2 linked regions of the Daphnia pulex genome follow. The protein of the gene in region 1 interacts with the protein of each later gene in a pairwise test. Links are inferred from orthologs where the notes say so. Each region holds a gene or a part of one and is shown on either strand. Other genes may lie near its edges.

The links.
Region 2: the proteins of protein daughter of sevenless-like (region 1) and growth factor receptor-bound protein 2 interact in binary tests that used the Drosophila melanogaster proteins (3 or more experiments, as listed by UniProt). The link is inferred for Daphnia pulex from reciprocal best matches to the Drosophila melanogaster genes dos and drk.

Annotation. Positions count from the first base shown.
Region 1 is NC_060019.1:10,842,726-10,853,751, forward strand, and holds protein daughter of sevenless-like, read left to right. Parts: upstream 1-1,888; 5' UTR 1,889-2,218; coding exon 2,219-2,296; intron 2,297-3,264; coding exon 3,265-3,393; intron 3,394-3,459; coding exon 3,460-4,385; intron 4,386-4,461; coding exon 4,462-4,844; intron 4,845-4,925; coding exon 4,926-5,041; intron 5,042-5,167; coding exon 5,168-5,419; 3' UTR 5,420-6,295; downstream 6,296-11,026. Other genes in the region: calpain-D-like, read right to left, coding at 1-262, 336-590, 667-709, 786-1,011. UniProt on the Drosophila melanogaster protein: Essential component for signaling from various receptor tyrosine kinases such as Sevenless, TORSO and DER. Required for photoreceptor cell and wing development.
Region 2 is NC_060028.1:9,113,636-9,119,376, forward strand, and holds growth factor receptor-bound protein 2, read right to left. Parts: upstream 4,390-5,741; 5' UTR 3,994-4,389; coding exon 3,916-3,993; intron 3,829-3,915; coding exon 3,731-3,828; intron 3,660-3,730; coding exon 3,540-3,659; intron 2,355-3,539; coding exon 2,189-2,354; intron 2,112-2,188; coding exon 1,938-2,111; 3' UTR 1,299-1,937; downstream 1-1,298. Other genes in the region: 39S ribosomal protein L46, mitochondrial-like, read left to right, coding at 129-216, 284-485, 547-683, 743-1,164; protein brambleberry-like, read left to right, coding at 4,781-5,089, 5,163-5,291, 5,354-5,539, 5,598-5,741.

The sequences.
Region 1 (11,026 bases):
TGAGTTAAGCAACGTGCACTGAGGACATGACCAGGTGTCTTTTTTCGTGGGACTATGAGCAGAGCCTTGACTTTCTACTTTCTTCTCGCTGTACAGTTGTGAGCAGCTACACGCAGAGCAAACATTTTCCCCGATTGGATTGATTAAAGTGCATTTTTTGCATGTCCAGCTCGCGTCGTACTGATGATTAACGACCACCGTACCGTTCTTCCTACCATTCACGGCTGCCTCTTTGGAATGGCTGTCAGGCACAAACAATTCCCTTTTGTTAGTTTCAAGTAAAAAAGTTATGCTATTGCTCATAACACTATAGAGTTTAAAAATACAATACATACTTGTTGTCTGAGTCCAATCCTGATGTTCCATATTTAACTATAATGGGTTTTCGTGGTAATGTTAAGGGGATATTGGGAGAGCGAGGTGCTTCACAAACCTCACAGCAGTGGAGATCAATAAGATTTGAAAATGTGCAGCGTTTGCAAGACCATGTTGAGCTATTGTTGTTTGGCTGTTGAAGAGTTTGATTTTGCTCTTGACTAGCTGAAATTCCTTTAGGTTTGCTGGTCATGCAAGTCATGCAATCTTGAGCACTATAAAAAGTTGGTATATCTTGTCTATTAATAGGTTCTAACAAAAAGAAATTGATTGATGATTGTTCAAACTAACCTTGCCACATTCAGAAATAAGCAGTGAGGGCAAGTCCATTTTGCTAAGAATACACAAGTAATAATGGAATAACAGAGATTCCCACCCAGCAGATGATAAATTATTAAAACGTTAAATACCTGATGAAGAACTAGAGTAGGAGACAGAATGTTTAAGTTGTGAATGATTTTTCGAGGACCGATTGTTTTCCTCAAAGTTGACTGGTGAACACATTGGACGGTCTTCTTCTTTTTCTATTGTACAAGATCGTTTTGCCCCGCAATTGAAGCAACAGCTCTTTTCAGTTGGATTAACTTGTAGGCATATCACACATTTCCATTGCAAGACTGAGGCAATCGTACCCATTTAAAACTAATCCGATTTTAAAAAGCCAAACATCAAGAATTAAATAAAACGCACAAGCCAAACATATCGACAAAGAAACTGTGAGATCCAGACGAAATTTCCCTGTCCGACTGACAGCCGCGATCAGCTGATCCTGAATCGATCGACCTGCCCTCCTGAGGTATTTCGTCTCTGCTGGTCTCCCTTCTGTTAACTGAAGCGGCAGCCAATAAGGTGTAGGATACACTTGCTGAGTCGCCACTTGACATGAATTCTTCATCACCACCCAGTGCTATAGGTGATGCAGATAAGGAAAAAAAAAATCGTTCGTGAAGTTGAAAACAAATATCGCGTGTGGCGTTGCGCGCGCGTTTGTTATCGAACCTGCGGGGCGGACCGAGCGTGAATGTGGTAAGAACACGCATAGACTTTTAGGTGCACGCCACTATAATAACAACTATACTTTTATTTTTTGACAGTAGCATGTTACCTTCTTTTTCTTTTTTCCGAATAAATTTCTTTTTTTTTAAACTTTGGTTGTATGGCTTTAGAGAAAACAGGTATTCGCGCACAAGTGTTGCTTAGATTAAATGGAACGCAAACTTAAATACAGGATCTATCCTATCCAGTTCCATAATCATGTTCTAATCGATATTTGTAAATCAACAATAGAAAATCGACCATTCCCGTCGAGCGTGTTGAGTCGCTGACCAATGAATTTTTCAAAATGCAAATTAATTTTGAATAGGTTAGGCCACCTAGCGACGCGTATTCAAACTTTTTCCTCCTATCAACGCCTACGGAGGAAAAGTCGAAAACGCTCCCCAAATAACAAATAAAAATGCATTAGCATTTTCTCAAAGCGTTTAGTAAAACTATTTTGATATGAAAAACTGATTGGTTTAACAAAATTCTATCGTGTTGTGCATACAAAAGTAGATAAGGAAAAATGGAAAACTTTGGACGCTGTAAAGAGAGAATAGACGTCAGGTATTTGAGATCTGGCAGCGTCATGTTAGTCATCCCATCCATCCCAGCTCACTTGTGTTTCTCCAACTTGGCTGTGGAATTTGAGCTGGAAAAATGTCGTAAAAAGTTCTTTTTCCCCTTTGTTGTTACCCGTTTTCCGTCGATTGGATGGTCGTCGTCTTGTCAATAGAATCGACGCCTTAAATATTAAGTGCAATTGTTTTGTATAGTTTTGTTTCGCTCAGTTCTACAAGGCACCATGGCTTTGGCCAACACGGAAATCGTTCATGAAGGCTGGCTTGTCAAGTCTCCGCCCACCAAACGAATATGGAGAGCTGTAAGTGTAATTTGATTCAATTTTAATTAAAACAGGTTACTCATTATTGAACAGTTGCTCTTTTTACCTTGATAAAACTCCATGGTTCAGAGTGCTAAATAGTAAATACTATTATCAAGCTTCTGTTGGCCATTCTCTCTGTTAGTGGGTCACGATGAAGCATTTCTTTTCCAATCATTTTCCCATTATTATTTATCTCTTTGTTTCTCAAATCATAGATGCCAAATTATCCTTTATTATCCCATTTGTGTTATGTGTGGAGAGTAGAAATTTAGCTGATCCCAGCATTACCATGGCATGTACTCGGTCCCTGATAAATCTTGGAATTCTCTGTGTTTTTTTAAGCGTTGGGCTGTATTGGTTGCTCAACATCAAGATAAGACTTGCCATCACATTTTTCAGAGTTTACCTCAAGCTTTATCTGGAGATTCATAAACTTAGATAACTGCTTTTTAGCATTTCCCCCCCGAGATAAAAAATTCCTCCAAAAATAAATTATGCAGGAGCTGTTTTGTTATCAAAATGGTGCATGGTTGTTTGTGACACTTTGTGGGCTGCCACCAATCGGGCGAGTTTTTTTTTCCCGGTTTCTGTGGTGAACGCTGCAACGAAATTTATTCGATCTATATATTTTGTGTTTTGTTTTCATCATCTCGATATCTGTGGAAGAGAGGAGGATGTTGTTCCCACGGTTTTGGTAGATGCGCGCTTCTCTGACCTATGACCGACTCTTTGTAATCGGATCTGTTGATGGCATTCCCCTCCCCTCTTCGTTCAACTTAGATATGATCGAATTTCTTCTCCTCTCCCCCCTTTCTTTTTTTATTATGAGAATGTTTGCCGATCTCGTTCTCACTCTACGACAACCCCCATGCGAGGAGACCCTTCTATTATTATACAAAAATGTCTTGTGTGCCTGGCCCATCAATTTCTTATCCCTTTTTTTTCTTCTTCTTTTGGTGACACAGAAATGGCGGAGAAGATGGTTCGTGTTGAAACATTCTGGCGAGTTGCCTGGACAATATTTCCTTGAATATTACACGGATCGAACATGTCGAAAATTAAAGGGCAAAATCGATTTGGACCAATGCGAACAGGTGAATTGACTTTTTAATTTAATTTGTTCAACATAATTTTTAAAATTATGTTTTTTCTTGTAACAGGTGGATTCCGGGCTGACGATTGAAAGTAGGAAGCAGCGGTATGCCCACATGTTTGACATCCGCACACCGAAGCGCGTCTACTTTTTGGCGGCCGACAGTGAATCAGACATGAATAGCTGGGTGGGTTGCATCTGTCACGTCTGCGGTCTCAAGGTGTTTTATCGCGAAGATGAAGAGACCGGTTCGTCTGTGACTCTGACACGGCCCGTCCCTAACGCGTCATCGACAATGGCCACCAGCGGAGTCCATTCGGCCATGGCGAGGACTTTGCAAGTGAGCCAGTTGTTGGAAGACACGCCACCCACCTCGCCCACTTCGCCGACCGGCAGTTCGGGCCCTTATTTCCCGTTGAGCGAATGCCTTTCAGGATCGCGCAGTCTCGTCTTTCAAGAAGCTATGGGATCGGTGGGCCAGCCGTCGTCGGCGCCCGTGACTCCAGCGCCGACAGCGCGAGGCTTAGCTCTCGGAACTCAAAGTTTACGCGGCCGGCCTCAGCGCGAGGGCTGGGACATTTTCTGCGACCAGCCCAGACAGTTGTCGTCGCCCGGCCACTCACAATTGGGTCAATCGCAGCAACTGCAGCCCGTCAGTTCGTCGGCGCGCAACGACCAAGGAGTTCACGAGCAAATTCGTAGCTTTGAGGACAAGTTTGCGCACTCTTTTAAGAGACTGCAACCGGCCACTGGCGCCAGCAAACGACCATCAGTTCCCCAATTGATGGGCAGTCAGAAGTTTGTGCCGCCGCCTCGCCCGCCCAAACCACCTCATTTAATCGACCAGCCTTCGCACAATTATCTGAATCTGGAACAGCTGCAATCGCCAACTTCCGTCGCTCCTGGTGGCAGATCGCACAGTCGCAGCAGTAGCCCACGCTCTCCATCGTCGACATCGCCTCCTTTACCTACGCCGACCAACGCCGATTCCTGGTAATTATTCAACGATTAGTAAATGAAGCGCAGACCTTGGTTAATTGATTGTTTCATTTTTTGGGGAAATTTTAAGGTACGATTTCCCGCGATCGCACCAGGGTGACCACGGCAACGACGGCAAGACGGGCAAGGATGCCCAGAGACGGCACTGTTACTCGAACGCTGCACCTGGCGAATTGTCGTCATCGGCTGTGGCTGCAGCGGCTGAGATTTTCACGTTCAACAACAACGCCGTCACGGCCGGGTTGTCTGCCGCTTCGGCCATGTCGCCCAGCGTTTATTCGAATCTGGCCAGCCCCTTCCCTTTGGCGAGTCCAGCACTCCTTCCCATGACCCCCTTTTCTCCGCCTTCAGTCAACCGAACACTCAAGCCCAAGACGCAATCCTCTGGTGCGGCCGGCGTCGTTGATGGACCCCTTCCACCGCCCTCAGTCAACCGCCAGTTGAAACCCAATCGTAAGTGGTCTCGTTTGAGGTCTATCGATTTTTTGGGGTGTTGTTAACGATGCCAATCTTTTATTTTCTCTCTCTTCTCAGGTCCCGTTTCTGGTGTCGGACAACACGCCGATTTCCACGGAAGCAGTTCAGACGATGCTGACGATCCATCGAGTCGGGGCAGTACCCGACCCAATTCCGCCCATGACGAGGAGCAGGTAAAACATTTTCCTCCTTTTTTAAAAAATTAATGAATTAACTCGCTTTGCTGACCAACTAAAACTAACCTTGGGTGGTGTCCGCGGTTTCTTTCCTTTTTTTTCTCATTTGTGTCTCCCCTACAGATCTACTATTTCATTCAGGGCTCGAGGGTCATTAGCGCTGGCCGTCAGCTGGACGATATCCAGTATTTGGACTTGGATTTGGAGTCTGACTCGTCTCTCCAATCGCCCAAAAGTCCCGAACGGGGTCACCATCACCAAAATCACCACCAGGCTTCGTCGACTGTCTACAAGACTGTCGACTTCATCAAAACGGAAGCTTTCAACCGAACACGTCTCACCGTCGAGGAGCGTCGCTCCAAAAAGGCGCAATAGGCACTCTCGAACCACCGCCACCTTTTTTGGATCGTTCAAATGTCTCGAGAAACATCCAAGACAATGACTCAATTCTTTTCAGAAGAAAAGAAGAAAACAAAAAGTAGGGAACACACGCACTCGGCACAAAATCATATTTGACACACATACGCGCGCGCACCCCCACGGAGAGAGATTAAAAACAATTCTGTGAGATTATTTCCGTTGTGTAAAAAAGACAATCAAAGATGATGGCACACACATATACAAGCCTTGTCGGCCATGTGTTTTTTCGTCAACCCCCTCCCCACCCACATTTGACTCCTCCCCATTTTTCCTTTGACAGATGGACTCGAGCCATTCCCTTTTTTATGCACGTGTATGTGTATATATATATATACATATATATATATATAAAAATAATCATTTTGGCCAATACTTCGACAACAAATTCAAAAAAACTTGCCCGAAGCTTTTCTCCTTACAATATATAAAAGTTTTTTTTGTTTAACGCAAAAACAAACAAAAAATTACCAACAGGATTGTTGGAGTGTTATTCCTTTCCCGTTAATCTATTTTTTTTTTAAATTGATGTTCACTTGTTTCAAGGGCGGCGATTCTCGCGATTACAGCAAAAAGAAAAGGGCAATTTAATGACAATCGAAAATGTGGGGCAGAACAGCATATTCATTCTTTAAAAAAACAATTCTTTTGATGATGATTATTACTTGTAATTTTGTTTGTTTTTTCTTTCTCTCTCTTTTGTCTTTTGCATTTGGATTTCTTTTGAAAAAGAAAAGAAGAATCACGCTTCGTCTTTTATTCTTGTACGTACGTTTTCCCCAACACTTTGAGAGATTATCTGTAAATACAGTTCTTTTTTTTTTCTCACTTTAATTCATTTTTCTATTTCAGTTAACCTTCACCGCAAGTATACAAGATGAAGGTGTCGCATTGCGCGCATGATCGGCTCACCGGCATCTGTGTATGAATCCCGTCTGGGATATTTAATTCGTTCGTCAGCTTTCACCGAGGGGGTGCGGCGATTGATCGGCGGGAAAACAGAAACCGCTGGTGCGTGTGTAGGTTACAGACAGACATAACACTGCCAGCACGTCGTCCACGTCGTCGTCTCGGTCTAAATATATATAACGTCAGACCTAGTACGACAAAATGCGTGTGCGCTGCTTTTCTCTTTGTAACTGGATGACCTCCACCATCTTTTTTTCGTCTTCTCCTGTACCCCGTCTGCAGTTGTGCCAACCTCCTATAGGATCCGCTGGAACAGTCACATGTTAGCAAGGGATTTGTGTCCGACTTGGGTCTATACTATATTCCAGCGTGTTTTTAGAATTTTTCATTTTGGCAGCAGAAGGAAATGTTCAGCACCGAAATAATCAAATGTGAGAAATAGAAATGAAATGTTTCCAATATTGGTTCAACTCGTCAAACACGACACTCACGCAGCAGCACATAACAGTTGAGTCAACACACGCTACATGGATAGAGAGAGAGATATTGCAGCAATTTTGTTTCTCTTTTTTTCAGTATATTTCCCCGTGTCTGTGTACAATCTCCACGAGACGAGGTTATTGGCGTCAATCAAATTTTTTGAAAATTCCCGCGCTTGACGGGTTTCGATAAAGACGGGCAAATTGCGGTTGGAAGAAGAGCCTCCGCCAATGCATCCTAATGACGTATGCAAATACACAGACATAAAATAGCTGGTGGGGGTATATAATCAGACGTTGTTCATTGCCATCAAAACAAATTCTTCAGATCAAGAAAACACCAAACTCTGCGCAATTTTTCCGCTTCCAGGCGATGATTTCTCTCCGTTCCAACGAGCCACCCTGGAGCTCGTTATTAGGGCGGGTTTCGTGCAAATTTTTACTCGGATCTTGTCCGTCCAGGGTGGGCTTGATGTAACTTATCGAGAAGAACAATTTGATGTGAAATATATATCCCGATTTGTCCATGCGGTTTGGTTTTAGGGAAGGGGTTGATTTTCTTTGATTTTGGCGGGAAGTGGGAGGCGCGGAGGGCGGATTTTTAATATCGATATCTTAACTTCTTAAGCGTGGTTAATTAGAATATTTGTGTCGTCTGCTTTCCTTTTGTTTCGCAGTTTCGAAAAAGCTAAAAGAGACGAAGGTTCAGACATTTTTTATCATAGAAAACTGAAGGGATCACTGGTTTGATGGAAACGTGTACGTGGCTGCAAGAGAAATTGCAGAACAAAATAAAATGTGGTCGTCGTGCAAACTTATTTGGTGTCGTGACTCGTGGCCATGCTCTCCACTCCATGCTGTTTCTCAGGTAAATAAAACTAGAATACGAAATACGAATGGAATGATTTTGGAAGCTCATTAGAAGAGTTCAACCTTTTCCAAATTTGTGAAATGTTGGTGCCCAACTACAGTGACTAGCATCTATCATGTAATAATGCTTGTTGTCGATGCATGACAGAGTTTGTTTGCTCCATGTATAACCTTTACCTTTGTGTAGATTTCAGTACTGAGCCAGCCATCGTAACTACAAGATTTGCAAGTTTTGACACTGACCCGTCATCACCAACAATCTCAGCATCATTAATTGGGTAAAGATTTTTGTTGCTTTTATTAACCTGTTACCTGCTGTATATAAATGGTGCCTAAAACTTGCATAAAAAGGTACTGCCAGGTATTACATGTAAACCTTAAGCAATCGTGTTTATTAACAGTAAGGGGATAACCACTGTCTTCTTTCTAACTTTTCCCAAGTTGTTGTCTCTGCAATATTTTTTTCGTAACCTGTTTTGTATTTTTTGATTAGATAAACAGCTCCTAGTTTAATTGGGAAAACTCTGTCCTCGTGTACACCCATGTGAAGGTGAGTGTATACTCACGATGACCCCCTTATCCTATCCTGACTGGCGTCAACCGTGACTTGACTGAGGATGGAGCACTTGTGGTTGCCTGGCTGTGGATTTCCTCGGTTTTAAGGTAGAAACAATGTAATCCTGTTCTTCCTTTTTATCTATTTGGTGGCGTTATGGTTATATAACGTTACGGAATACGATTATTCCTGAGCTAGGCCATTTGACTGGAACTGTTTTCTCTTGCTGTTTCTGTTGTATCAATCAGGGTTAATTAAACAACTCATTTGCAGAGCGACTGCACGGTATCAGGCTTGTTTTATACCTCACAACTTAATCTGCGGGTAAAAAATCAAATTAAAAAAAAAAACTTGTTTAATTTTAAAAACCTCAACAATGTGCAAAAGTCTCGTTTGAATTCAATTCAGCGCCATACAAACCTTCGGGAATCGAGCAGCTACTGGCAGCAGCGCCATCACGTTGCCAAAGTTGAAACATTCAATTCTACAAAACTAAATGAATGGAATTTCATTCCAACGTCTCGACTTTTTAGATTGAATTACACATCACGTGGCTTGAGGCACGCGCTGTCATAACTCCCGCGGGATTGAACCCAATTCGGTTTCACGTTCTATACCCAATAGGAATCGTCCAAAACAAATTATTATGTTCCATGTTGTGTGCTGTGTGTTTACATCTTTTTTTTTCCCCGGCTGCGCATATGGCTTACGTAATAATGTGTCGGTATTACTGTGACGCGCCGCTTTTATTTGACACCGGCTGGCGCGGCTTCAGTTTTCCCCCGAATAGTTTTTCGAGACGTGCATCGCATGTCCGTGTTAAGTTTCTCAGCATACCTACGTATACATGCTAACAATCAATGTTAAAAACCAGAGCTCTACAAGAGCTGCTATCCCATCGTCTGTATTTAGTGCGGCCATCGGGACCGGTTAGACTCGATTTCATTTGTACCGTTGGGAATTCTGTTACGAATGTTTTTTTTCCATCAAGCTGTCGGCGCATACCATTCTTTTTACGGATTTACCTATCTAAATCACTCGATAGAAATGGTTGTTGTTGTACTACACCTTTTTATAAATTAAAACAGTTTGTTTTGTGGGGAATTCTTGCTCTTCTTTGTAACTCGGTTGATCAATTCGAATTGTCAATGGCGGCAGCATAGAGCTACGCCAGAATTTCATGGAAAAATCATTTCATTTGATGTAGCCAAAGCTTATATTCAATACCTCTCATTTGTCATGTACGCTATTTGTATACATCCTTGTTATTAAATTGATACGAGCGTTGTATAACGATTTCAAATATGCGTCTGTATAAAATATCAATCGGAGCTAATCAGCTGACGATGTTTTTTCTCTTTTTTCAAAGTCGATGTGATTTTATTTTTTCGATGCTGTGATGCTTGCGGTTAAACCCACACAGAGAACCCATTCACAAGTTGACCTGAATGTCACTATCGCCATCTGGAGTTCATTTCTCAGTCGCTCCGGCTTATCTCTTCTTCTTTTTTCAACGTGACTTTTTGAGGGGCTATTTTATTTTTATGGCATCAGCATCTAACGGTATTTATTATACACACACGGTTGTATGGGTTGGCCTTATTTTTTTGGAAAAGATTTGAAATAACTTGATGAAATAATTGCGAAATAGATCCAGCGGGATGGACATCACCTCAATCTATGTATTAAAAGTTACACAGTAGTCAGTTATAGACAAGATGGATGCGACATTAGTCACGGATGTCGTCCGCTCGTTTGCTGACGTACTCGATCTTGTCCCTCGATTTTCTTTCAACGTGTGGCCGAGTGGTGGGCGCGACAACCGGAAAAAAAATAAGAAAATAAAAAGAATCTGTGCAAGTTTGTGCGGAGGTGTCGGGAGTTCACGCTGCCGGAACTGGCATTTAAAAATGGCCGGTGGTGCGTCACTTTCTCCCCCCGACTTTAATTCAATTCCTTCCTTTTTGGCATTTTGTTGGATTTTTTGAGCTGAATGGAATTTTTGTCCAGAAATTATTATAAAAATGAAATCTCGACTTCCTGTGAATAGGAAAAATGGAGGAAAACCAGTTGAAAAGGGGCAGGATGAAGATGGGAAGGAAATGGAACGGAAACGGGTCAGCTCACCTCTTGTCCTCTTCAGATTGAACGCACAGGTGGAATACACACGGCTCGTAAAAGGAGTAGTACCTATACAGACGAAGGGGGGGGGGACACAGGATAATATGCCCTCGAGGGCAACTTTTTTCATTTTCCCCTTCGAATTTTTGTCTTTCTCGGTGCCCTCATCCGCACGGACACCGGATGTCCGCCCGACAACACACAAACAACAGCACAGAGCAATGAAAAACCACTTTGACGAAGCCCCGCTGCTGTCATAAACCCAACACAGCGACTCATACCCTCCTCCTCCTTTTCATTCCAACACGCAACTTCATTTGGATTTTTCTCTCCGTCACAATCTCGACAAACTGTTGAATCCCTAATAATATTCCACGGACTATATATAGACACACCCGGAAAAATAAAAATAAATTGCGTTATAATCTCGTGAAAAGAATAAAAATTTCGTGATTCAAGTCAAATCGGATTTTTAAAAAACCTTTGGGGGTTTCGCGATTAGAACGTTTCGCGTGTGCGGGATTGTTATTACATCTACACACATAAATAGGTATGTAGACTCTGTCTGAGAGATTTTTAGCGTGACCTTTTGTCGGGTTGTTGGCTTCTTTCACTCTGTAAGACTTTACG
Region 2 (5,741 bases), on another chromosome or scaffold:
AAGACTCTCGGAATCGAATCGAGGATTTTCCGATTTTGTTGACAATTCTTACTGTGCCCGTGCCGGCCTTGTGGCCAGAATTTAATATAGACTAATCAATAGTTATTCAAATAAGATACAAGAGAAAAATGTTTTGCTTTCGATCTCATGCTTTAGGTAGCCTATCACTAGTTAAGAATGGTTTTTCAATTAACAAAGTCTATCAAAATCCAAAAGGTAAAAAGCTTAAAATCATTCATTTTTTAACGCTTTTTGATGGATAAAATAAATTTTATGTTCGTAGTTTTCTTGAGAATGTCGAGTGCTTCTACATCCAGTTCTTCACCCCAAAAATGGGAACTTCTTGGTGCAATTTGTCTGGAAAGAACACCAATCATTGTGCCTCCCATGACCGAAATTGAACAACAAATTAGTGAAATGATTGAGAAGTTTGATAATATGAGAAGCCTCAAATCAAATCATGAACTAAGACATGAAGAAGACAAGTAATAATTTCAAATACCATCAAAGATTTTAATTTTAATATGAATAATTTCTTAATTGTAGGAAGCTACAAAAAATGGCTGCAGATGGAACTCAAGATGAAAGTAACCCAGATGCAGCAACAAGGCAAACAGCTCAAGACTTTGAAGATGCTTGCAATGAAGAATTTCAAAAATTTAAGCCTGCCCCAAGGACTACAGGTAATAATATAAATAATAAAGTTGACTAACAAGTAATTCATTGACCTACTGTAAACTAGCTGAAGATTTGAGTGGAGACCAGAAGTCCACCAATCGAAAGCTGGATAAGCATTTGCTTTTTGTTGTGCAAGAAAAAGACAAGAAAGTTTGGAAGCTTCCGGAAAGTAGGTGGAGGGAAGGGGAGACCTTACGTGAGACCGCAGAACGTGCACTTAGAGAATACGTGAAAACTCCTGATACGTCAGTGCGAGTATTGGGCAATGCTCCGTGGGGAGTACATACTATCAAATATCCGTCGTCAGTTCGCCAAAAGCTTGGTTTTACCGGTTCAAAAGTTTTCTTCTTCAAAGCCCAATTGCTTTCTTCTTGCACTACTTGTTCAGACATAGAGTATAATTGGTTGGGCAGAGAAGAGCTTACAAACAGTCTCGAGCCCGAATACTTACGTAGCGTAAGAAAATTTCTCATCGATGAAGATTAATTCATTAAACATAGTATTTGTTTAGATGCATCTTTAAATACACAAATTTTTTTCCTCTTACACATTCTACTATTACGAAACAATGAACGCAACAGGTAAGAGTTTTAAATCTGACGGAGAAGAAGACTAAAACATTGGTTTGCACATTATATTTTCATCAATCAAGATACTGTTCGATGTACAAGTATAGCATGGTCTCAAGCTAGTTCATAAGAGTGAGAGTTATGAAGAGGTTATCGATATAGGTAGAAAATCGAAATTCACTTTAAAATGTCGACAAAAAAGGGAAAAGAGCCAATAAGATAAGAAGAAGCAACAGAAATGACGGGCAAACTTAATAGCCCAGTAATTGTTGTCGACGTTATGGATAAGTTAACTTATCTTTCCGCAATCAAAACCACACAAATTGCTCCAACATGACTATTCGACCAAAGCCACATCTAATGGCAATCCCGAAAGCTGTGTGCTTGAGGGGAAATACAGTCGAAAATCGAGGTTAGAACAACATAAACGGAAAAAAACTGAAAAGAAAGCAATTTTACAAACTGCTTTCAATGAGAAATGAGATGCAATCCTGTCAATCCTAGCTGTTCATCACTTTTACTGTTTTGTTATCAAAGTTAGTAATGTGTTTAGGTTCGAAGTCGGCAAAAATAACTTGAGTCTTAAGAACGGACGCACCACTTTAATACAAAAAGAAAAAAAAAATGAAGAAAAATTTATGAAGAAAAGAAAAGGAGCAAAAGAAAACGAACGAACAGTGCCTTCGCCTTTTAAGTATGATACGGGGCAACGTAAGTGGCAGGAAAGAGGCCGCGGCGGGCGCCAATTTCTCCAGTCCACCAATGTTGATCAGAACGGTCTGTCACAGTTATGACGTCGCCTCGCTTAAATTCCAATTCACCTGGTTCTTGCGGGGTGAAATCGTATAGTGCCTGCACCAAGAACTGTCGAAAATTCACACAACAATTGTTAGTCAATCCTGAGCCTAAAGGCATGGAAAAAAGAACAACTGGTAACTCACCTCTTCAGGCACCATGTCTCGTAACTTTATATCCTGAGACCGAGAAACAGATGTGGAGCGATGGTAGTCGACCAGTTCGTTGAGCGAGTTGAATTTTACCACCCACAAAAAGAACTTCCCTTGGGCATCGCGAAGTACTTTGAAGTGCTGGACACCATCGCCACATCTGCGAGACAAGAAAGAAAAAATAGAGAATAGCCTATTAACACAGAATGCACGTAACAAAGTATTGTGTAAATTTCAAACTAATTTCGAACTACAAGGAAGTAGGATGATGGCTTCCTTAGCTATAAACAAAACACACTCATCCTACAACTTAACGGGCAAAAACCTCAAGAAGGAATAAATAACACAGCAGGGCGATGAGAGAATTGTAAAAACTAAAAATGATGCAAAACTCCGGTTCAAGGCACATATATAGTTGCTTGATTACGGACGGTGGCTCAGTGGTAAGGGAACTTGACGAAAAGGCCTAACAGATAGAAAACAGAATGTACCCTAGACACGCCTAACAAGGCTAATAAAATACCAAAAAGGATAAAACTAATTACTGAAAACAGTAGGACTGACGGTTCATGAATCACGAGTCACGACTTAAGCAAAGGGTAGTCACTGCACGAGTTCCAATTTTACAAGCTGTCTTTGTTTTTTTAAGGTAAAACAAAATAGACAATTGAGATTCATTCCACCTTTGAAGTGAATAAAATTGGAATGTAAACGGATGTGTGCGTCATCAGGTTGACTCATGCACTGCATTTGGAAAGAATTCTTGCGTGATCAAATCAAATTTCTACAGAAAACCAAATACCCATGATTCTTTGAGGGAAATAGAAATAAACTGTACGTTCGGTTCATTAATTTTCTATTCAAACGCGTCTTCCTAGTAAGGTAGAACTTGTATCGTACAGTTTGGAGAGCGAGATTATAAGATATTTGATTTTACACTGATGAAAGCCTGCATGTTTGAAATTCTTTTCACGCTTCAAATGTACGTGTAGCGTCTAATCAGGATATCTGAATGCAAAGCGATATTTCTCAATATGTTTTTATAATGTGCTATTTCTACATAAATATTTTGAGAAATCTTCCCGTTTTAGGCAGTTAACGACTTACAAGCTTAGTTAATAGATGTCAACTTATCTCATTCAGATGTTCTAATGATAAGTAGTCTGGTATGCCACAAATAGATTTCAACAACATTTGAGAATAGGCAAATAATAACATCAAACATAGTAGAAGAATTCCTATGGGGCATTTCTAAACTATCTAGAGCTCTTGGTTAAGGATTTACACTGTCTATGTTTCTAAACAAAATCTATCACATTGTTATTTTAAGAACTAGATAACATACTTAACAGACAGGGAAAAGTCTCCCGGTGAGCTCTCACTGACTCTAACAACAAAAGCGCCTTCATGTTTGTTGCCCAAGAGTTTCTCTGCATCAGCTCTGGTTATTCTTCCATAGTACCAACTGTAGAAAATAAAACAACAAGTTATAATCAATATGCATTATTTTATCATAAACATTTCAACTAGGCTTACTCATGATTTTTCATTTCAATGTAGTTACTAGGAATCAACCCTTCTTTTCCATCCAATTCTGCTCTATACCAATTCAGATCATCTTCCATATTCAGAATCTACATTTGAATCAAATGAACAGGTTAGAATATTGCTATAAGCAAAAATTCCTTAAATTCTGTTGAAAGCATCATTGCTTGGTTTACCTTGAGAACTTGCCCTTTTCGAAAACTAAGCTCATCTTCAGCAGTGGCATTAAAGTCATGTTTAGAATTGGCCTCCATCTCGAAAATAACACGTTTTATGAAATCACAGATGATAAAGTATTTCTTGGCAAAACAAGCTTCAGAGAAGGAATTTCCTTTTCAAGGCTAGGCCGGATGTGCACCACGGCTACGTTTATCAAGTGAAACGGTTGTTGGCCAATCACCAAAATGTTTTGACTTCGTTCAAAGTCGAATTACACTTCTCGAAACTCAAAAACGAATAGCATTTCCCACAAATTGTTTGACAATATTGACTATCAACTGACGTATCCGTATCCACGATTGTTTGATTAACTATACACTGTTTTCGGGGCCCGACGAAAGCCAGACAGCCATAATTTTGGGAAACAACTTAGTTCTTGGCTTTGACGCACGAGCGTCACCAGTCCTTTTCTCCCAATGGAATTTTAAAGGTAAATGCTTGCGTGCCTGTAAACGTTTTTTATTTTTTCTAACTATTTTTTTTCCAAATGACTGAAATTATTTAAAATATTATTTCAATTACAGGAATATACATTTTTTATAATACAACATAATAGATGAATATTTTAAGATTTTAAATATTTAAATTTCCGTCGAATTCTTTTGGAAAAAGCAATGTGGCAACGTTATCTGCCTCATTTGAATAAATGCAAATGGTTTTCAAAAGGAATCTCGACCCAGAGATTCAGACCAGTCCGGACTTGAATTTAGAAAAGCAACGTGCAGTTCCTTTTGACTAATTTTATCGACCAAACCCTCTTACAATCTTATACAATTATTGTCAGATGATTTTCTCTTATATTGCACTGTGATTATTACAAAAATGAAGATAACTTTATATTTAGTGGCCATAATTCTCCTAGGAACTGGTAGTCATTCTAGTTTAGTAGGTTGGATTTTAGGCAGAGACAGCTCCCCTTTTAACATTTTGAGTAGTGAAAAACAATTTGATAAGCTTATGGCTGTAGCAAAAGAAGATGATAAGATTGAAGTTTCTGAACCTGATGAGAGTGCTGTGCAAGCAAGGTCTGATATTCCATTTGAGCTGTCTGTAGCTGATGAAAAATTCATTGCCGATGCACAGAAATATACTGACCTTAGTCTGAGCGAGCTGGATGTTTGCCAGCATAAAGTAAGTAAAGTACTTTGATGTTGATTCAAAGTACAATCTCACTGTTCATTAATATTAATGAACTCGTTTATAGTTAATCCTTCAATTGAAGCAAGACTGCAATGATCTCTCAGAGGAAGATTTGTCTAAGTTGGGTGTGAATCTTTTAAACTGCCAATCAAGATTGGAAGGGCGGAGAGTCTACCCATGCTCCTCTTCAATGGCAAGTTTTCTAATTAATGTATCACTTCAGCTAGTTGTAGCTAACCAGTTTATATTTTTTAGACTTTAAGGGAATGTACTTCTGACATGGATTCCGACACCTGGAATGCCTACCATATTCTATCCAATAGAGCAAGATCAGTGTGCTACGGTGCCCGCCAACAACAGTTTAGAGCACTGACTCAAATGACAGTCAACAAACTCATGGCCAGTTCTAGTCAACAATTGGGATTCATTAGAGAGCTCAAGGTTGGTTTCTTTATTGATTTTCATCACAACTGTATTGTATCTTTTTTTTTCCTCACAGGCTGAGCAAGAGGAACTTGGATCTTTGGCTGCTGATACTTTAACTTCTTTGACCAAAGGTCAAGAAAAGTTGCTGGAACAACAAGACTTTCTGAAAGCTACCCAGCAGTTGGCTTCTCAACAGATAAGCAGCACAATGAGAGAA